Arabidopsis thaliana: one gene and its partners. The protein of the gene in region 2 purifies or fractionates together with the protein of the main gene of each other region. This does not show direct contact. Each region holds a gene or a part of one and is shown on either strand. Other genes may lie near its edges. The genes, in order: AT2G44070, AT3G23145, AT1G44835 and AT5G38640.

Region 1 (5,043 bases), on a different chromosome or scaffold from region 2:
TTTTTGTCAAAATCCATATCTTCTGTTTTGTGTGCGTTTTATTTTTTGATAGAAAGCCTCTATCTCTGTTGGTGTTTTGCAGGTTTTGCTGATACACAGAACAAATCATTGGTAGCACAAATGAAAGAAGAGATGCTCCACATGGACATCAACTCAATGATAGGAAGTTCCATGCCACTAGGTATGATGCGTATCGGAACAATCATCCACAACATCGAGATGAACCCAGGGCAAGGCGCAAAGATGGTCCGAGCTGCAGGAACCAACGCCAAGATCCTAAAGGAGCCTGCTAAAGGGAAATGCTTGATAAAGCTTCCGTCAGGGGACACCAAGTGGATCAATGCCAAATGTCGTGCTACGATTGGCACAGTGTCGAACCCGTCTCATGGAACGAAGAAGCTATATAAAGCAGGACAGAGTAGGTGGTTAGGGATAAGGCCCAAAGTTAGAGGAGTGGCGATGAATCCGTGTGATCATCCACACGGTGGAGGTGAAGGAAAAAGCAAAAGTAGTGGAAGCAGAGGAAGGACATCGGTTAGTCCGTGGGGAAAACCGTGTAAAGGCGGTTACAAATCAGCTAGTGTCAAGAAGAAGAAGAAGCGTTTGGCAGAAGCAGCAGCCAAAATGTGATATGGGTGAACAAGTTTCGATTTTCTTCAAACGTTTCTTTCTTTTAAAAAGCCTCCAATGTTATTTGGTTACGTTATTGAATCTGTTTTTTGAGAGTTTTTTAGGCTTCATGAAACTAGAAGATCTTTGATCAGTTGAGAATAAATATGGTTACGTGTTTACTTTTATTAAAAAAAAAAAATCGAATTCAAACGTTTTCATCATAACAACGTTTAAAACAATGCGAATTTCTTTTTTTTATATATATATTAAAATCGTCGAAATCAAATTTGAGAGATTTATATGCTTATACTAGAGAAAAGGGTCTAAAAAGAAAAGAAAAGGAAACAAGAGAAAGAGTCAAAAGGTTGGAACAATATGATGCATTGAATCAATCCCCACGATAAAAAAAAAACATTCAGCAAAAAAAAACATTCAGCACAAATGTCTTCTTTGACTAATTAATTACCCCAAAACATTAATCAAAAAAGTGAAGAAATCAATTTGACATCTTCCTTGGTCTAAACAAACAACCAACTATTGAAAAAGTTCCTTATAGTGGTTTTTGAAAATTGAAACAAAAAACGAGAATGGTATTCTATAGGGAAAATAGTGAAAGAAGCCCACAGAATTGGAATAAGGAATGAGAATTAGATGTAACAAACAACAGAACAGCAACCATGCCTTATAATCTTGGGTCCTACTCCTCCATATCATTTCATTTTTATTCTTACTTCTATTTTGAGCATCTAAATAACAATCTTTGAGCTTTGAAGCAAGTGTTCTTTCTGATATTCTCTTACGATGACAGGCACACTTGTGGGAGGTACCTGAAATATAAAACATGGTCAGTGTTCAATGGTTTGAGATTCTGAATGAGTGGAGAAACTGTGTTGCATGAGTTATGTTTAGGGATGAGATCACTTGATCACCATAATGCTATGTTTTTAATTAAGAGCCGATATGATTAATCTTACCATGCCATAATCTGTGATTATCATGGAAATGTAATCTGAAGGTGTAGCATCATACCTATCATTAGAAAAAAAATCACAAACGGGTTTAGTGGCAGGCAGAGAAGAATAGTATTAACAGAACATATATAGTTTCACTTGTACGATTAACACAAGCTAGCTTACATCAAGTTCAGAAACTTCAGCTTTGCATTGTTGGTCAAGCCATTTAAGTAGTTTATGTCTTCTCTTCCATGAACTTTTGAAATAGCATTTGGATCACCGAGCTCATTGGAGCATATTGAATAATCCAACTGCACCTTCTCATGGAACTTATAGGCTTCGCAACAAACAAGCACAGGAACACGGAAAGCATTAGCCACCATTGCAACACAAGCAGTGCCAACCCTTGAGTAAACTGTTCCGTTAGAAAAAACTGATGAGGCGCCCAAAAACACTTTGGTGACTTGGTGCATGATATATGATATGGCAGTTATATGAGTGTATGTACAGTTAATGCCTCGTTTGATCAATCTACGAAGCAGTAGCTTCCCTTGAAGCTTTGGTCGAGAATCCACCACAAAGACACGAAACTTTTTCCCGAGTTCATGTGCATGCACTAATATCATCTCAATGACAGTGGAAGATCCGTAGGTCAGAAGGACATCACCGTCTCTTATTTTAGTGACAGCATGTTCGACTATCACTGTATCTGCACCTATGATTTTCTCGTTAATGAAACGTTCAATATCTGAGTGAAGAGAAGCTTTTGCTTCAGATTCAGAAAGTGTTATAGGCAGCTTTGCAATCCTGTTTTTCACAAATCGGATTGCGTTTCCCATGCTAATCGAAAGCGGACGGCATTCTATGAGGAAAGAGACGTAGCTACTTATTTGAGCAGTCATGTCTCTATTAAGGGTATTCTCAGGCGGCGTCGAGTAATCTTTAACAACCTCTTGGAATGCTTGGAGCATCGCAATACATCTGGCATTGCCACCAGAAATATCCCAAGAAAGATAATGAAGACCAACCTGATAACCACAACAACGTCATACTCATTCACTAGACAAGTAACATTCATCTTAATGAGCAACCACTTATTAAAACAAAGAGATTATATAATTGTATATTACAAGCACTAACCATACCTTGTACACAGCAGAATGCATAGGGTCAAGAAGTTACGATTTTCTCAAATGCTTCTTCCTTTAAAAAGCCTCAAGGTTTGGTGACGTTATTGAATCTGTTTTTGAGAGTTTTAGGCTTCGTGAAATTGGAGGATCTTTGATCAGTTAAGAATAAATATGGTTAGGTGTTTCCTTTATTTAAATATCATCGATCGAAATCAAACGTTTTCGTCATGACCACGTTTTAAACAATGCGTTTTTTCCTTTTTTTATATACTAAAACTGTCCTAATCAAATTTGAGAGATTTTTATATATATGCTTATGTATTACTAGAGTAGGGCTCAAGTAAAAATTCGAGGAAAGGGTCTAAAAAGTATAATTCAGAAAACGAATAAAAAAGGAAACACGAGAAAGAGTCAAAAGGTTGGAACAATGCATTGAATCAATCCCCACGATAAAAAAAAAAAAAAAAAAGAAACATTCAACACGAATGTCTTCTTTGACTATTATCTATTAACCCAAAACTTTTAGTTATATATACATTTTATCTTTTTGATGAAACTTTGAATGCTGTAGGCTGTAGCAGAGAACAATATATTCTTCAGCAATATTAGTTTTAAGACGTTCACTGATAGATTAGAGTTAGAAATTAGTCGGTATTAAACCAAAAAAAAACACACACTAGTATAATACACTTGACCGCATAATTTTGCTTCCACTTGAAAAGTGAAGAAATCTATTTGACATCTTCCTTGGTCTAAACAAACAAGCAACTATTGAAAAAGTTCCTTATAGTGGTTTTTGAAAATTGAAAAAAAAAAACAAGAATGGTATTCTATAGGGAAATAGTGAAAGAAGCACATAGAATTGGAATTAAGATTGAGAATGAGATGTAACAAACAACAGAGCAGCCAGCCAGCCACCATCCTTGCAAACTTGGGTCCTACTCCTCCATATCAATTCCTCATTTCATCTTTATTCTTACTCTTCTCTTTAATCTTCTAATTAACAATTTTTGAACTTTTCATGTTTTGGTACATAACCAACGAAAAAAGAAACAAGTGACGTACAAAACACAAGAAGAAAATGAAATTATCTTAATTGATTCTGACCTAAAGAATTTAACATTTTCTCTTTCAAATCTTTTGTAGCAAGGGAGGTGAAACGAAAACGAATCATTAAGATACGTGCAATGAATCCAATAACCTCTATGACTAGCAGATGCATGAATTTTATTTTTGTGTTTCTGTTATGCATCTTTTTAGTTGCTTTTTAAGTCTGGTCATATCTTCGCTCAGACTTCACTGATGCAAAGCTGGATACAAAATCGACAAAAGTATATGTCCCCATATATTCCTATCTTTATACTGAAGAAAATATATACTTTAGCTTTATCTATCGCACTACTTTAGTCTTTAGAGTTGATTTATCAATTAGTTCCTAAATCAACTAATGCACATGATTTAATGTAATTAATTGTCTCTTAATTGTACGGATTAGGTGATGAAGATCCACCGTCCACCATGGCTGTAGTACCTAATTAATACCGTGTAAACTTTAAACCACGGGTATTACTTATGATTGTTATTAGAAAATAACATTAGCTTACCTCAAAAAAAATGAGGAATTTGTTTTTGATTTCTAGCAAAAAAAAAATGAAACCAAAAATGATTAGACGACTCTTTTGTTTGTAGACACAATAAATAATATAGAATTTTTGTAAGAAATTAATAGTTTAGAACAATATGCGTGTATTCAAAAAGAATATAATTAAGAATATTTGAAATGATTAAATACCAATATTATTATATTAGTTTATATTTTTAAATCAAATTACTCAATTACAAAAATAATACATTAGAAAATGATTAATTATATTTTTCTAAAGTGTTATAAAGACACCATTTCCTAACGGTATTGATTTTAGATAATAGAAAACAATAATTTGTGAGGAGAAAGTATTTAAAAGAAAACAGAAAAAGAAAATGTATAACGTAGAAGAAAGGTGGCTTTAGATTGGAGAGTTGTACGAGGAATATTAATAAGTCAAGTTGGTCGAGATATGCATTGAATCGATGGGAACGAGCCACGTGACAACGACATGTGCCGTTTCATCCACATTACATACCTTTTGAAATTATTGCTTATTTAATTCTTCTATCAACATTTTTTTTGCTTATACTTATTTTCTTCAATATATCTCATACCACTAACAATTAATAAAGGCTAATCTTAATAGAGAAATAGAATCATTCGTTTTAATAAACTCAAGTATATGTGATGAAACTGTGGGCATATCATATAAACTTGTTATTGAGCATAATAATTCATCTTATTATGTCCTACTATGCAT
Region 2 (4,414 bases):
TAATTGTTTTACCTACTTTAAGCACAACCACAAGTCCACAACTCCTTAGTGAATGCTTCTTTTAAAAAATTTGGTTTTATTATTTTGTAGGTATTACATGTTCACATTCAAAATATATTTCACACTATATTAGATTAAATTTAACTAAGCTTTAATATTTCACTAGCTCCTACTAGCCTTCCAATTTTTACAATTTTACTTTGCAATTTTTACTCTCGATCCAAACAAATAAGTACTTTTTTGTACTATATTCAAAGATGAACAACTTTATATTTTTCTTGAACAAAAATGAAATTGAATAGAGAGAAACTAGCTACCCTAACTAGTCACTCGAAACCTTATAAATAACACCTTCTGTAGTTTGTTTTCCTATGAAGAATATTTTTCAACTTTATCTATTATATTATCCTTTGTTAAACTTTCCCTGAAAATTGTTAGAAAATAAACTAATTAAAATAATTCTAAGCATGACGTTTTTGTAGTTATTAATTCATGTTACATTAGACGCACGAATTTAATTATAATACACACCCCCGTAATTAAGTACATTAAAGACCCTAAAGTATATATATTAACCATTGATAAAACAATTTAGCCCTAATTAGTGTCCGTTCACACACATAATCTTTCCTTTAGCTTATATATACGCTGGTGTGTGTTTTTAAGAAGCTTCATACACTCATTTTCAAAACATTGAATACTGAGACTTGAGAGAGATCCCAACAGAAGAAGAAGAGAGAGATGAACCACCGGGACAAACAAATTGATTCCGGCTCTGGCTCTGGAGAAAACCGCCGGACTTATGACTGCGACATCTGCAAGAGAGGTTTCACGAATCCTCAAGCCCTCGGTGGTCACAATAACATCCACCGCAGGGAACGCGAAAGATACCCCTCCTCCTCTTCTTCTTCTCACTCATTTCCATTTTCTCTTCCGTTACCATCTCAGTCTCCCTCCTCCTCCACAAACTTCACAAACCCTCCTCCTTATTTTCCGACCATTGAGTCATACCTACACCAAGGGTCTCAGCCACCTATTAACCCTAGCCACAACACACAATACTTTGGATCATCATCATCATCAAGAGGAGGAGGGAGATTTGCTCAAGGGGCGTCTCATGATCTTAATTTGAGCTTAGGGCTCGGATCCATGAATGAAGATGATGACACTCACCGGAGCCCACCAGAGACCGGAGGTTCTCAACCTCAAGATGGTGATCTTGATCTTGATCTTCGACTCGGCGGTCATCGTCATCATTAAGCTTGCAGCGGTTTCCCTCACGTTCGATCCACGTAACCATATACAATATATATATATAGTTGAAAGTTAATCACCGTATAGTGCATGATGTTTATTGTGGTGTTTATATATGTTTTCAATATATATGTAGTATGATCAAAATATGTTGGACTTGGAGTCATGTTTTTATCATGATCGTATGAAGTTTGGGTTTGTATAATTCAAGACTATATTTTTCACTTAAAAATTATAGATCAAATAGGTTAATTTGAGTAATGTTTTTGTTATACCTTTTTCAAAAAGAAAAAAAAATGTTCTTGTTGTCTGAAGTTGGGTTTGTATAGTACAGGATTATTGTTCTTTTCCATAACTATATATTAGTGTAGATCTATAGATCAAGTAGTTTTGCGTAATATGTTCTAATAATTAGTTACGTTGTATGAAATTTGGGTTTGTATAATCAAAGACTATCTATCATTCTCTTGTATAATATTTTACATGAATTTACATTTCAAGTGGGTTTGTATGAATTTACATTATAAAGTAAGTTTAAACTTATATTATGAATGAATTCGAACTGCAATGGGATAAACATTATATGCGTTTTAATAATAGGTTGGTGAAGTTTATAATTTACACCATTTGAAAAGCCTTCCAAATTTAGAAACTACATTTTTGCAGACCCATGTGAGCTCATATGAATCAATCATAGCCTTGATGTTGTAAAACAAATTATGATTATAAAAATGTGATAGTATATTACATGCATAAAAAATAAAGGAGAGTAAATGAAAGTCAAATCTGGGTTTTATGAACTGAAAGTTGAAGTTTAGAAGTAGAAGTAGCGATCAAAGTATGACCAGTTAAAAGGCCCAATATCATTTGGAGGTTTGATTTTTGGGTTCGTAAATTTCAAGAGCCAGATTATGATTTGCTGGGCTTAAAAATCATGGAAAAATTGAAATGACGGTGTTAAAATATATAACTCAAATTAAAGATTTTAATTGGGTGTAGTAGGCTGATTTTTTTATAAGAATCTTGTCTATAGATGCTTCAAGGTTATGCCTTATAGTACTGGTTGTAAAACACCACTATCTAATTTTGAAGCTGGTCAGAACTATAAGGTATGTTGTTGTTGGCCTTGTTGCTAATGAAGATTATAACATTCTGTTGTTGCATTTTTTTTTTTTTTTTTGTGTTAAATATATATATTTTTTTTGCATATTTATTGTTGCATATTGTGTTGCATATTTAGTAATGGTTACATTCCCTGTTATCGGAGATCCAAGATAATACGGCTCTTGTGGCATGGACTACTACTCCATGGATTCTTCCAAGTAATCTTGCTTTGTGTGTCAATGCAAAGTTTGTCTATCTTAAGGTTCGTCAACAACACTGGAAAAGTCTACATTGTTGCTGAATCTCGGTTGTCATCGCTTCCTAGTGATAAGCCTAAGGCCGGCTTAACTAATGGAACTTACTAGTGATACCATAATGCGAAAGGTGCTAATTAAGCTTGACAGTGAAGAGGATTCTTATCAAGTTTTGGAAAATTTTAATGGAGATTCCTTGGTTGGGAAGAAGTATGAACCTTTGTTTGATTACTTTTAGCGATTTCTCAAGTGTGACTTTTCGACTAGTAGCAGATGATTATGTCATGAATGATAGTGGTACTGGTATTGTCCATTGTGCTCCTGTCTTTGGTGCAGATGACTATCGTGTTTGTCTTGAGAACGAGATAATTAAGAAGGTTAGATTTGACAACATCTTCCTTATATCACCACCTTTAACATTAAGTTTATTTTCTTTCTTGTTTAAGTTTACAGTATCTTCAAGAACCCATGTTCATGACACATTTTGTTCATGTGTTGTTTAGATTGTCAGAGATTTCAAACGTCCAGATGGTTTGAAAGATACAGAGATTGATGCAGCTGTAGATAGTACATATCTTAATTAAAAATACCACTTCTCTATGCTCTATTGTTGAGGAAACATATAATATTTGCATTCGTTCATGGTTCAGATATGATGTTATGGTAATTCTTGATCTACGAGAAGATGAATCTTTGAAAAACGAAGGTGTTGCCCGTGAGGTAAATAAATGTAACCGAAGCGATTAATGGTCATATATAAGTTGTATATTTGATATATGGGTTTCCTTCTCATTGTGCTCATGCATTGAAAAGCACCCTGTTATGACTGTGGTTCTAGGAGAACATTTGCATTTGACAGTCGGTGACTAATTGTTAAGCAAGAAGAACGCATGAGAGCCTTTTAAAGTGTTTTCTTCTAGATCGTTGCAAAAAGTTAAATGTCTCTTGAGACTTTGTACTCATTCTATAGATAAAGATGGGATTTATTACAAAAACAACAAGAAACTTTGTTACTTGTGGAAATTCAAAATTATCCGAACTAGCTTCACAAAATATGCTCAAGAGTTTCAATGTATTTTTTTTTGTTCTGTAATTGTATGACTCCGTTTGAAGCATCAAGATTATGGTTATAGGTAGTGATGCTAAAACTCTCTGTTGTTACAGTGACCACTAAAAACACCAACAAAAAAAACTTAGGTAACGTGTCGTCTAAAAACTTCTAGGTTCAATTTCTTTAGATAGTACTATCAATAAATAAAATAAATATGTACAAAGGCTTTAAACAATGATGTTTTTCAAAGATGATTGGTAGATACTAATTAGAGCTTCAATATAAAAGAACACATGCGATTCTGACATTCTGTGGTCTAACATGGTTTCTTCTAGAGTCAAAACCATACAATTAAAAGTTAGGAAAGTAATAGCAATGTGGTTTCAAATATATACTCATTACTCTTTAGATTCATGTATGGTGAAGGAAACATTATAATAAAATCAAAGATCACAGTTTTGTAGGTCCCTCATATTAATCAACATCTTAAGGCGTTATACATATCTTCTTTTTGTAAATATTTGACTAATTAAAATATCTAATTAGAGTATTAGACTAATCTCATCAAATATCCGACTACTTGTGTCAGTTCAAAACACAGTGATTACGTTAGATTTTGTGCTCTTTTGTTTATAAACAAAGCTAATTTAAGAAATATATGATCTATTTGCCTCCTTGGTCTTAATTTTATACTTTCTTGGAATAAAACACATTTATTAAAATAATTTTTAGGTTCCTAGATTCATGTCAT
Region 3 (6,140 bases), on a different chromosome or scaffold from region 2:
CCTGTACATATAAACGATAAAATAAAAATTGGTTATATTCTGATTCCCGTAACAAATAGAAAGCACGAAATTGCGTTTTAATATCATGATATCAGTTTTCTACAATCGTACCTCCTTGGAAACGACAGTTGGCCAAAGTTCGATGATCGAAACCCAGAATCTTATGTGTTTCAATGGATCTCGTGTGTCAGTTTGAATTTAGTCGAAAAGCAAGGGAAGTTACAATGATTAATCACGGCCGTTTAATTAAATGAAATCCGACGATCGTCATAACGTGGAAACTGTTTTTTCTAAACCGACCATTTTAACCGTATATTTTAGACCAAAACCAAACGAAACCACAAACCGGTTTGTAGTAATATCTCTTACCAATTAGTGGGGGTAAATATGTCTTATTTCACTCCAAAAGCAAGGCAAAGTGCCTCTAGTTTTTAAAGTGTATAAAGTGAATTAAGTTTCTCCGAAAGTGCCTCTATGTGTAACATTCCTTCAAAAAATCTAAAACCAAGTTCAACTATATTTTCAAATTTTCTAAAACCTAATATAGGTGAGTATAAAAACGTTTGCAATATACATATAAAAGTCATATTTCCTATTATTTTAGACTATGTATGATTAATTTGCATTTGTTGGAGATAGAGGGTAAAATTGCAAAAATGAATGAGTTAGAGTTTTTTACACAAAACCTTTTATTTTAGTATATGAAATATCCGAATATTTCTTTTATTCCAGAAAATCGTAAGTTTTAGATGAATGTTTTTCTTACGTTTTGTTCGAATTTCAAATTCAGTTTTCGGATATAGAAAAGGTTTATCTTTGATTGAACAAACAAAGCAACAATAAGTGAATAAATGGTTCGAGCTTTCATGTAAATGTAATCATTTTCAGTCTTATCTAAAATTTGCTGTCCAACGAAGGAAAATATATTGCTGAACCGGTAATGTTTCTCTCCCAAATATCTCCGGTTCAACATGTAAACCAAACCTCTTACAATCGCTTCGGCTGGTGGCGTGTACCAGCATAAAAACCTTCTGCGTACGCTGAGTTCTTGTACATAATCTGCAATCAATTTACATAGAACCAAGATTAGTACAAACGGCTTAGTCTTACCCGATGCGAACCATGTATATCGAAATGTACTCACAGAGAGGTGGGTCAACTCTGAGGTAAGTCGTTTTCTTAGTGTTTCTGCCAAAGCCTCCACGCACTCTCCCTTAGCCTGTATATAAAACCGGTTCAGAGTTGATCTATAAATGTTACGAAATCGACTTTAGTTTCGGGATTGAGTTTACTACCTCGGACAATAATAGAGCCGAAGTTTTGTCCAAAATCTCCTGCACAAATTTCTCCGGGTTCTTGTAAGCTGATGGAGCTGAATTTTCAGCGACGCTCTTCACCTTACAAGCTGGCTTGCTCGTTTTGGCTGCACCGTTGAAGAAAACCGAGTTATATAAACCAATCCTTCACGGTTTAACAAGACTTGGAGCGCATGGTTAAGAAACTGATAAATCAGGCATACCTGAAGCCACAGGCTTGACCTCTGCTGACACACTTTTTGGAAGAGGAATTTGTGTAGAAGATGTTTGATTAGGAATCTCGGGAACAATAACTGAATTAGACGGAACACAAACAGCTAGATCTGGAGCCTGGTCTTTACCAACTACCGGGTTAGCCTGAAACAGCAAAAGGTTCAAAAGGTTAACCCTGAGGAAAGGAACTGTGGAACATGAGTTCTCAAGTTAAAGGTTTAGAGTATTTGCCTCAAGGTCAACGTATACGGGATCTCTCCCAATCGACTTCAGAAACTTGTCCAGACCCAATGTGTTCAGAGCTGGAAATGATAGGAACCAACCAAATTAGATATAAGCTAAAATCTGATGTTATGAACTATTTTGAACCATAAAAGAAAAGTCTGTAATGAAAGAACTTACAGACTGAGACATCGTTAGACAATGGGTGGAAGATGCAACGCGTTTGGTTCTTGAATTTTTGGTCTAACAAGAGAGACACGTCTCTTTAACATGGAAAGTTTTAATAAAGAATGTCAGTCAATGGAAATAATTAGGAACTTGGAAGGGAAAACACCATATGAACCAATACCGTAAGGCAAACAATACCTTGCTGATTCATTTACAACTGCAAACGGGGTAACACATCCGAGGGATACCTTTAACGAAAAAAGAGAGTAGCACGAGTGTCAAAAATTGTAAACATGAATGACAATAAGTTCAATATATTCGTGTGGATTTGTTGTAAACTGCGATAAGCAAAACAAACATATCACCATGCATAAATAGATCATTTAAAGCAATTTGGTTTGGAGAAACTTTTCTTATCAATTGTCAAAAAAACTATCGCTACCATGGTTCCCATGTTACAGCACAATCATTTAATAAAACTCTTTCCAGATATATATAACAAAACACAGTAGCAGAGGAAAAGACTATGAAAAATACCTGCAAAAGCTCACCAAGTGCTTCTTCTGGAGCCATTCTAATCCCTCCTTTTCCAAGACCAAGTCTCTGAGATAAAACTGTTTAAATTAGAAGTCACAGGGAACACACATTAACATCCAAAAAAAAAAACATTCAAACTTCACAAAGCCCAGAGACTTCTTCTATGCCAATATCCACAAACGAAAAAAGGAGAAAACATATGTTACCTTTCATGTCAACTTTCGTATCCACCATCGCTGAAACAATATAATACCGATGTTTCTTGTCCTGCAAAAACAAAATAGAGGCATATGCACCATTAACAATCAACTAATACTCTAACTTGATAATGCCTTTAATGGTGTACCGCTTTGAAAGACTACCTTCAAGAAGAGATTCTTACTCAGTGCACCCTTACTACTGCTAACATACTTGGCCTGAAGATTTAAATACACAAAACAAAGCCTTATAAATCCATCTTTAAACATCATACACTTAAGTTTTAAAAATCTAAAACATTTTAAGGTATATTCACCTGTTCTTCGACGGTTAGTACAGGCGGATGTTCATACTTGGAATAATCAATCTCAAGTTCCTGAAAGATAGATACAAATCCTTAATCATCAATTCACATTGCCACATTTTTTTAACATTGACACTAACAAAACGTGTAACACCAAAATTCTTGACCTAAGGGTTAGAATCTAAAAGTAGACATTGAAAAACTTCTGAGTTCAAGACGACTATACACATAACTTGGAATCCATAGATACACATCCAAATCCATTAATACACATAACTTCTTCAAATAGAATCAAGCATAAAACGAAGTAACATTTTCCGTTCTCTGCTAATGATTTATCTAATCTTATCTGACAAATTCCAACAAAAGCAATGCGAAATGAAAATGATGTAATTGAGTTTAAAGGTGAAAATGGAAACCTGAAGTCGATCAAGCAACTGATCTTTGGTGAAACCCATTGAATCGAAAAAATCAAAAATCAGAGAATTTGGACTGAGAAAGGAGCAAGGAACTGCAGATTTTGTTGAGAAGACGAAAGTTTAGGTTTTGCAGATTTTGCAGTACTGGATTGAAAAACATTAAACCTTCTTAGTAAACTAGAGGATTACACATTGGGCTTTTCAATCCACGACCATACTTAACTTGCAAATGCCTAAAAGGCCCAACATATAACCACAGGTCATAAGAAAATACAAATTTTTAATTTAAAATTAAACTGTTTTAAGTTGTCATAAATGGTGCACCACAAATAAAAAAAAGTCATCATAAATTTGGGCTACGAAAAATATCTTTACAAGAAGGATTGATTGTAGATATTTGAAACTGATTGTGTAGAGTTTAGTCTCGGTGGCGTATTCGCCTGATGATTGACCAGCTTTCTCCAACCTATTAGACGAGTTTGAATGTTCCGAGCTTTAATTTCTTATTTTAAAAATTTTTTTTTTTATAAATATTAGGAGGTTCTGGACCGAATCCCGTAATCTCTCAGACCCGAAACCACAGCATGTAATATTAGTTTCGTCCCAAACGTCACTCGAATCGGCGACCTCTAAGGTTCGTCTAGGGTCTTTACCAATTGAGCTAACGACGCTTGGTTCGATTTCTTATTTTTACCGTTTATGTAATTCTAAAGCATATTGTTTAACCTGTTTTTCTCGTTTATTGTTGTCTGATGTTATTTTTGTAAACTCTTCTCCTCTAAATTGGGCAGCCGATCATAGAGTTATATTTTAATATATGTGTGGTTGATAAAAAATATATATATATTAATATTTTCTAATAACATATAAATATAAAAGTAGTTAGAAATGAATATAAAATAGTTAAAAAAATATTGATTGATTTTTGTGTAAATTATAAAAATCATTAGTTATGTTTAATTAATTATATTTTTGTTGTTGTGTGTTTAATTTACGTGTTTCAACATTTGGGGGACTGACTTTGTGGATTTGGATATGGTTCATTCAAATAGATTTTGCTAGGATTTTTGTTTAATTAGTTGTTTTAATTTCTTGAATAATTAATCTACGGCTTTAAAGAGTATGGTTACTGCTTAACACACTATTCTTAACTTTTTTCTCTGATGTGCTGAAAGAACACTTTTCAGCCCCAATACAACAAAACAATCACTGGTATGAGAAAATAAAATAAGAAATCCATATTTTTTCATCAAATAAGTAATCAATTTTGACTATGTATTAAGACCATCTCCAATGTATAGCTCTATATCTTGTTCTAAAATAGAGTAACTCAATTTTAGAGATGAGTTTTTCTCCAATGTATATCTCTATTTTCTACTCTAAAAAAGAATATTCTTAGAAATATTCTATTTCTATTTTATATACTAATACTTTTTAATTATATAATTTAAAATTTGACCCCATATATTATAGATTTGCAAAATTCGTATAAAATATGAAATTATTTAAATTAAACACTTATTATTTATTAAAAATCATTACATCATATAAAAATAATAAAACATTACAAATTTTATTTTAATTAACACCATTAGAATATTTATTATAAATAACACGGTTAACACCATTAGAATATTTGTTTTAGTTTTTTATGTTGTTTATTTTAAATTTAGTACTTGTTTGCTTCTTGTTAAGTTTATAAAACTATTAAAATTAGTATTTGTTTGTTTGTTAAGTTTATAAAACTATGTGTTGTAATTGTTGTTTGTAAAATGATTATATGCATTAAATAAAAAAAGTTTAAATTTGAGGGACTAAAGTATAAATAAAAAAATTGAACTCAAAAATAGAGTTGAGGATAGAGTTGTTCTATATATAGAGTCAATCTGTAGAAATCTCTATTTTTGAGTCAATTATAGAGTAGGGTTGGAGAAGAATTTTGCATTTTGACTCTAAAATAGAGTAGGGTTGGAGATGCTATAAGCCATTTTAGAGGTAAAGTGTCCGCAAAACGAAACCCTAATTATGAGAAACAAACAGGAAGAGAGGAAAATTAAGATTGCTTTCTCCTGCTAAGTCGATAATGAGATAGACTAGTAGCATTTAGCTTATGGTCATTTTGAAAAGTTCGTGTATGTATTTACTAGGCTAAACCGCTAAAGTAATTAGTATAGGAAAAAAGAATTTATAGAGTTCATTAGTCCGAGTATGTTAAACAATTAACAACCCCCGGTTCGCATATTGGAACCATAAAATACTTACAATAACTAAAATAGGCGTATAATGGATTGTCTAGCCATCGTGAAATCGCAATCTTAGTATAATTGACAAATGACAAATCAATTAACATTACACGATTTAATATTCGTTATAATGAGACAACATAAACATATAATTGAGATCATGATTTCACGACCAATGTTGGATCTATTTCAAATACTGCCTAGTGATTTAGCAACACCAAGTTTCTTTGTCTTTTGTATTTAGCTACATAACACCAAAAAGTGTTTGGTTTTCCTTTTCCGAATCAAAATTATAAATATTGTTCTATGAATGTTCTCTAAAACTTTTAAACATAAATCATTGAGAAAAATAATGCCATGTTATGTGTTTTGGGAGATCATTAAGATATCCCCTGAAAAGAAAAAACTCGTCTCGATCCGGAGAATATGTCATGTGAAAGGTGAAAGAAAAATGAATGTAAGGCACTTTTCATGGGACCAACTATAACCACAAGCCCATGTCAGAAACTCAGACCCAAAT
Region 4 (6,468 bases), on a different chromosome or scaffold from region 2:
AGACTCATATTTGGATGTATAATGTCATCATTGGTAGATATATATCTGATGATGTCAAATGTCTTTGTTTTTAGGTTCATCCAGTGATGATGGTGATTGGACTCATACTCTTCAATGGAGAAGGTAAGCAAACAATCTCCTTCACATGTTAAGAGTTTGTAGTATATTACCGTCTTAACTTCATATTTTAGACTTCAAATTTGTAGTATATTACCGTCTGGCGACTATTCTAATGTCAAGAGGTTTTAGTATTCGTTGTATCGGTTTTCATGTTCGATTTCCGCATACTTCATTTGTCAAAGAGACTGAACTGTTGAATTGCCCTTTTTAACATTTGAGTACATTGAAATTTTATGTCAAGAGGTTTAGGACTCATAGGATTAGTTTTTTTTGTTTTTAGTTACGGCATTGTTAATTCGGTAAAGAGACCATGGACATGTTTTCGTTTCTAACATGAACGGTACCTTCAACTTATGCAGCTATGTTAGCATATAAGTCAGTTCAAGGTACAAAGAACTTGAAAAAACTGGTTCATCTTACACTACAACTCACAGCATTTATTCTAAGCCTGATCGGAGTGTGGGCTGCTCTCAAGTTCCATATTGACAAAGGGATCGAAAATTTCTACAGTCTCCATTCGTGGCTCGGCCTTGCTTGCCTCTTTCTCTTTGCATTCCAGGTACACTCTCTGTTCTGACTTGTTTTAAAATAACAATCTCCATTACTCAGTAAGAATAAATATCAAGAACTCACTCAAATCTATTGTTACAAACAGTGGGCTGCAGGGTTTGTGACTTATTGGTACCCGGGTGGTTCAAGAAACAGCAGAGCCAGTTTGATGCCATGGCATGTGTTCTTAGGGATTTCCATATATGCATTGGCGTTGGTGACTGCAACCACAGGGATACTTGAGAAGGTGACGTTCCTGCAAGTGAATCAAGTGATAACTCGGTATTCCACAGAGGCAATGTTAGTCAACACAATGGGCGTTCTAATCCTTATTCTTGGCGGTTTCGTGATACTCGGTGTGGTTACTCCGGTCAGTGGCAAGGATCAAGTTCTCACACAATAGAGTAAACCCTCGAAAAGATCTCTTTCAACATTTCGACCTATCGAAACATTGTTTATTTAAGAGACAATTTGTGATGTAATTGAGTCTTTTTGAACTGATTTAACGAGCAGTGCATATATGACTGTAATACAAGTAAAGCATGAGAACACGTGTAACCAATGTTGAAGACTGAACCCAACAAAAATTGGCATAGAATCTGAGAAAGATTTGTATCAACCTCCATGAGAAGGGAGAGTAAGAGAAGCCTCACTCATACATCACAGACAAAGAAAAACATCACCGATATCGATAAAATCTTCCCGGAGAGGCGGATGATGAATCGCACTCTTCACAGAGTCAAAAGTTTCTAAAAACAAGTCAAGGCCAAAAAAAATGAACCCGGTACTCAGGAAAAGAAGCGGATGAGGGGAGGCAGTGCCGGTAGTTATTCTATCTGGGTTGTGATGAGAAGAGCCTGAGCTAGAGGAGGGGGTTGGAGAAGAAGAGCTTTCGCAAAAATGAGCTTTGCTTAGACAAGCAAGTGTTCTTTCTGATATTCTCTCACGATGACAGGCACACTTGTGGGAGGTACCTGAAAACGAAAACATTGCGTTCAATGGTTTGAGATTCTGAATAAGTGGAGAAACTGTATTTTATAGGTCTGAGACTTCAGGAACCTAATGCTATGTTTTTAAGAGACGATGGTTAATCTTACCATGCCATAATCTGTGATTATCATGGAAATGTAATCTGAAGGTGTAGCATCATACCTGTCATTAGAAAAATCACAAACGAGTTTAGTGGCAGAGAGGATTAGTATTAACAGAACATAGTTTCACTTCTCCGATAAACACAAGCTTACATCAAGTTCAAAAACTGCAGGTTTGCGTTGTTGGTCAAGCCATCTAAATAGTTTATGTCTTCTCTTCCATGAACTTCTGAAATAGCATTTGGATCACCTAAAGGTAAAGAAGCAAGAAACCCAATGTAAGGTAAAACAAAATCAAAGGCGGTATAAGATGATACTGATATCGAGAGAAGATATTGCATACCAAGCTCATTGGAACATATTGAATCCAATTGCACCCTCTCATGGAACTTGTAGGCTTCGCAACATACAAGCACAGGAACACGGAATGCATTTGCAACCATTGCAACACAAGCAGTCCCAACCCTTGAATAAACTGTTCCGTTAGACAAAACTGACGAGGCGCCCAAAAACACTTTGGTGACTTCATGCATGATATATGAAATGGCATTTATATGAGTGTATGTACAGTTAATGCCTCGTTTGATCAATCTACGAAGCAGTAGCTGCCCTTCAAGCTTTGGACGAGAATCCACCACCAAGACTCGAAACTTTTTCCTGAGTTCATGTGCATGTAATATTACCATCTCAACAGCAGTGGGAGATCCGTAGGTCAGAAGGACATCACCGTCTCTTATTTTAGTAACAGCATGTTTGACTATCACCGTATCTGCCACTATGATCTTCTCGTTAATGAACCGTTCAATATCTGACTGAAGAGTAGCTTTTGCTTCAGATTCAGAAAGTGTTATAGGCAGCTTTGCAATCCTGTTTTTCACAAATCGTATTGCGTTTCCCATGCTAATCGAAAGCGGACGGCATTCTATGAGGAAGGAGACGTAGCTACTTATTTTCGCAGTCATGTCCCTGTTAAGAGACTTCTCAGGCGGTGTTGAATAATCTTTGACAACCTCTTGGAATGCTTGGAGCATCGCAATACACCTGGCATTGCCACCAGAGATATCCCCAGAAAGATATTGAAGACCAACCTGATACCACAACAACTGATACTCATTCAGTATACAAGTAACATTCATCTTAATGAAGCAATATAAACCACTCATTAGAACAAACGGTTCCTTGTTTTAACAAAGAGATTATTAATAGTTTATTAGAAGCACCAACCAGATAAATTCAAGAGAAAACAAATACCTTGTACACAGCAGGATGCATAGGGTCAAGTTGGAAGAACTTAGTCTCGAGATCAGGAAGTTGAGTGCCATGCTCATACTGAGGCAAATGCCTAAATAGCTCAACCCTGTTTTTAGCCTCGGTCTGTTTTACAACAGCACGTCTTTTAGCCTTCACGACTCTACTCTCATCATCATACTGCATGCGGGGATGAGGAGCATCTTTCTTTCTATCTTTTTCAGATGGACCTCCCTTCTTCTCAGCTGCTCCAGTAGCAACAGCAACATCATTCTTCTGAGATGTAGCCTTCGCTGGTTTAGCAGCTTTAACACTTGTTGAAGCCACCGAGGCTGAGGACACTGGTGCCACCTTCCCACCATCAGCTGATATAGCACAGTATTACACAGACTGATTAAGATATTGCAAAATACACAACGATAACACAACAGAGCAACCAGCATATCAAATCTCTGTACTAAGCTGACGAATCATTCATTGCGATAAAACCACACATTGGTTTAAATCAAAAATGCACCTTTTGCAGCAGCTTTAGCAGCTCTTTGAGCTTCTTGAATAGCTCGTCTCTCAGCTTTAGTGGTTTTCTCTTTCAATGGCTTCTTCTGGTCACTCTGCACCTCCATTCCACTAGCCTTCTCTGCAATTATATAACATTGTGAATACATTAGCCTCATATATCCTAAAGAACAAATTTCAAAATCAATCAAATTATGATTCCACAAGATCAAAAGTGAGAGTACCAGAAAGTCCAGGAGGCATGGTAACGACGGAGACAGTGGTTAAACCACTAGCAGGAACACTACTAGATTTAGCAGCAGCCATAGAATCCATCCCAATACCAGGCAGCGAAGAAGCAACAGGAACAGATGATTTTACGAAACTACCCCTGGAATGGCGTCCAGGAGACGCCGTCGTTGATCCATCAGGGAAATCACGGCGACTTGAGTAAGAAAACGAAGAAGGAGACACGGCTGACGCAGCAGCACCAGCGACAGCGACTCGAAGAGGGAAAGTATCAGAGGAATTGAGACGAGGAGGAGGAATCATGACGGGGGAGAGTGAGTTACCGGAAGGAGAAATGGTGGAAGAAGAAGAAGAAGCAGAGGTAGCAGCGATCGGGTCGGGTTGTTGTTGTTGAGTTGATGAATCGGGTTGAGATGATGTGAAGAAACCGACTTGTCGGACCTTTGGATCTACTACGGCGCGAGGGTTCCGACGAGACTCCATCGCGTCGGAGGAGAAGAAGCTCTGGATTTTTTCTCGGTGAAGACGGAATTATTAATTTTGGGGATCGAATTTAATTTTTGTTTTCCCAGACGAATAAAACGTAGAATAGGGTTTTTATTTTTATTTATTTACTTTTTCAGATTTATCCGATGTTAACAGTCCAGTCCGAGTCACTAAAACAATCTTACTTTGTTCTTTTGTTTTTGTTTTGTTTAGAGTATTAATCCATATGCAATTTATTTATTCTAATAGAATCTAGTATCCAAGGTTTTGGTGTCAGTAACATAATAATGAAATAGGAGCATAATCTTATTTAAATAACTAAGCAAGTCCAACAAATTGTGAACTGAGAGAGATAAGAACTGAAACACAGTTCATATGTTTTATCATGTTCAGAGCAAAGGAGACACAGTATAGAGAAGAGATCAAACAACAAGTAGATTCTTTTAGGGCTGGTGGAAATTCATAACATGATCTTACTCAGATTAAAAAGCATATGAGACCTGACGAAGGAAATACTTTGATGGTGGTGACTACATGAAACTTGGGGAAGCTGGGCCTTTGGAGAGACCAAGCCGAACTTCCATCCCGTGGTGAAAGTCTACTGGTTTCAGCGTCTCGGATTCGCGAGGATCTGTAGATTATACACCATTCATCGTCAGAACAATATAAATTGTGAAACTAAGAGAATTAAAAAGTTTAAACATTTTTCTCTTATATACTGAACCAAAAGTTCAACTTTGGTTACACAATGTAAGTAAGTAGTATGTGACAGTCAATTTTTGAGCAATGCTCGATGATTTGTGACAGTCTAACTGGAACAAAGGTTTGTCACTGTCTATTGGTGTTTTGGAGTGGAACAATCTACAAAGTAGAGACTAGTAAGCGAAACGAAATAAACAAGTTGAGACACTTTTCTATTATATGCTAAACAAAGAGTTAAACTCTATGCAAGGATGAGGATGATTTGGTTACACAATGCAAGCAGTATGTGACGGTCATGTTTTGAGAAATGCTCAAAGATTGTAGGAATAGAAAACTCTAATGCACAACCAAATGGGAAAACTGGTGTAAAACAATTACCATTCAAGTAATCCTCAAAACCAAAATTATCTAGAGCTCCTGTGTAGACTTCAAGGCCAAGCATTGATGAAGGAATTGGTCCAGGAGGTCTCTGAAACCTGAATACTCCACATAAAAAGATATACAATAAATATTCAATTCACCAATAAATATTCAATGAAGAAGAGGCTGCTCTATGCGTTTATGGTTCTGAATTCAATCTACATATTGCTACTAATTTAAGAGTATCCACTACGCGTTTATGGTTCTGCAAATCTAATTCTAAGTAGCACTACACGATTATGATTCCGAATTTTCGATATAATCATTATGATGATTCATATACACATTTGTACTAACAATATTTCAAAATTCAGAACAGCAATTGACCTAATCAAGATAGATTACTAGCATTAGGAAACCATATTTCAATCTTAACAGTATTCTATAAAGCCTAAGGAAGATTCTCATACATTCTCATACCTAATAATCAGTGTAATTCAGAATTTCATATGCTACAGATTTAAAGATCCATACCGAGAAAGGATTTGTCTATCAAGATCCATCTTCAAAGGAAGAGCAGCTCCATAAGTATGCGTGATCACTCTCCTCTTCATTTCTTCTTGTGATTGCTTCCCCTGAAATCACAATAAACAAGTTTATAGAAAGGAAAAAAAAAAACTAATTTCAGAAACCCCGTCAAAAAATCCCAATTCTCAAATTTCTGAATCAACACGAAGCTTATTCATCAACACCCTAAGTTCCTTAATTAGCCTAATTTTCTAATTCCTCAATATCAATAAAAAAAAAAAAAAAGATTGTGAAGTGATTGATTACAGATTCGTAAGCCGTTTCGAGAGGATGAGATCTAAGGATATCGCTCTTAACGCCGTGAAGACCAAAGCGAAGAGCATCGTTCTTCATACCTCCGATCTCATGAGCTATCTTCTTCTGCGACTCCATCTCTCCTCTTCCTCTTCGTTTTTTTTTCCTCCGCCGTTCTACTTTTAACTTTCTCGGCGACTTTCTGGGCAAGCAAGCAAGGCAAAAGTTTCAGAGAAAGAAGAAGGAATGATTTTGCTTAAGTTTAGTAGAATGAATTTTATGTAAAGCTCAAACTCAAGGCCCATTTGGGCTTTTCTTATTTGTAAGCCCATAAAACTCTTTTTTC

What was found.
Region 1: the proteins of AT3G23145 (region 2) and AT2G44070 fractionate together in Arabidopsis thaliana (co-fractionation; one large-scale study listed by BioGRID). This does not show direct contact.
Region 3: the proteins of AT3G23145 (region 2) and AT1G44835 fractionate together in Arabidopsis thaliana (co-fractionation; one large-scale study listed by BioGRID). This does not show direct contact.
Region 4: the proteins of AT3G23145 (region 2) and AT5G38640 fractionate together in Arabidopsis thaliana (co-fractionation; one large-scale study listed by BioGRID). This does not show direct contact.

Annotation. Positions count from the first base shown.
Region 1 is NC_003071.7:18,229,739-18,234,781, forward strand, and holds AT2G44070 (NagB/RpiA/CoA transferase-like superfamily protein), read right to left. Parts: upstream 2,893-5,043; 5' UTR 2,732-2,892; coding exon 2,711-2,731; intron 2,594-2,710; coding exon 1,749-2,593; intron 1,670-1,748; exon of another isoform or gene 1,652-1,669; intron 1,642-1,651; coding exon 1,587-1,641; intron 1,440-1,586; coding exon 1,359-1,439; 3' UTR 1,127-1,358; downstream 1-1,126. Other genes in the region: AT2G44065 (Ribosomal protein L2 family), read left to right, coding at 83-630.
Region 2 is NC_003074.8:8,249,838-8,254,251, forward strand, and holds AT3G23145 (ATP binding / aminoacyl-tRNA ligase/ nucleotide binding protein), read left to right. Parts: upstream 1-2,300; coding exon 2,301-2,363; intron 2,364-2,521; coding exon 2,522-2,620; intron 2,621-2,803; coding exon 2,804-2,989; intron 2,990-3,115; coding exon 3,116-3,179; intron 3,180-3,294; coding exon 3,295-3,359; downstream 3,360-4,414. Other genes in the region: URO (C2H2 and C2HC zinc fingers superfamily protein), read left to right, coding at 742-1,260.
Region 3 is NC_003070.9:16,937,185-16,943,324, reverse strand, and holds AT1G44835 (YbaK/aminoacyl-tRNA synthetase-associated domain-containing protein), read right to left. Parts: upstream 3,525-6,140; 5' UTR 3,417-3,524; coding exon 3,378-3,416; intron 3,031-3,377; coding exon 2,971-3,030; intron 2,873-2,970; coding exon 2,819-2,872; intron 2,724-2,818; coding exon 2,663-2,723; intron 2,534-2,662; coding exon 2,457-2,533; intron 2,168-2,456; coding exon 2,118-2,167; intron 2,015-2,117; coding exon 1,932-2,014; intron 1,832-1,931; coding exon 1,761-1,831; intron 1,674-1,760; coding exon 1,520-1,673; intron 1,424-1,519; coding exon 1,293-1,423; intron 1,220-1,292; coding exon 1,145-1,219; intron 1,060-1,144; coding exon 988-1,059; 3' UTR 802-987; downstream 1-801.
Region 4 is NC_003076.8:15,466,440-15,472,907, forward strand, and holds AT5G38640 (NagB/RpiA/CoA transferase-like superfamily protein), read right to left. Parts: upstream 4,286-6,468; 5' UTR 4,236-4,285; coding exon 3,749-4,235; intron 3,646-3,748; coding exon 3,526-3,645; intron 3,374-3,525; coding exon 3,012-3,373; intron 2,849-3,011; coding exon 2,104-2,848; intron 2,011-2,103; coding exon 1,914-2,010; intron 1,822-1,913; coding exon 1,767-1,821; intron 1,747-1,766; exon of another isoform or gene 1,644-1,746; coding exon 1,581-1,643; 3' UTR 1,240-1,580; downstream 1-1,239. Other genes in the region: CYB-1 (cytochrome B561-1), read left to right, coding at 75-123, 480-679, 776-1,072; APE1 (acclimation of photosynthesis to environment), read right to left, coding at 4,769-4,869, 5,319-5,416, 5,835-5,935, 6,135-6,324; AT5G38650 (Proteasome maturation factor UMP1), read right to left, coding at 4,769-4,869, 5,319-5,416, 5,835-5,935, 6,135-6,260.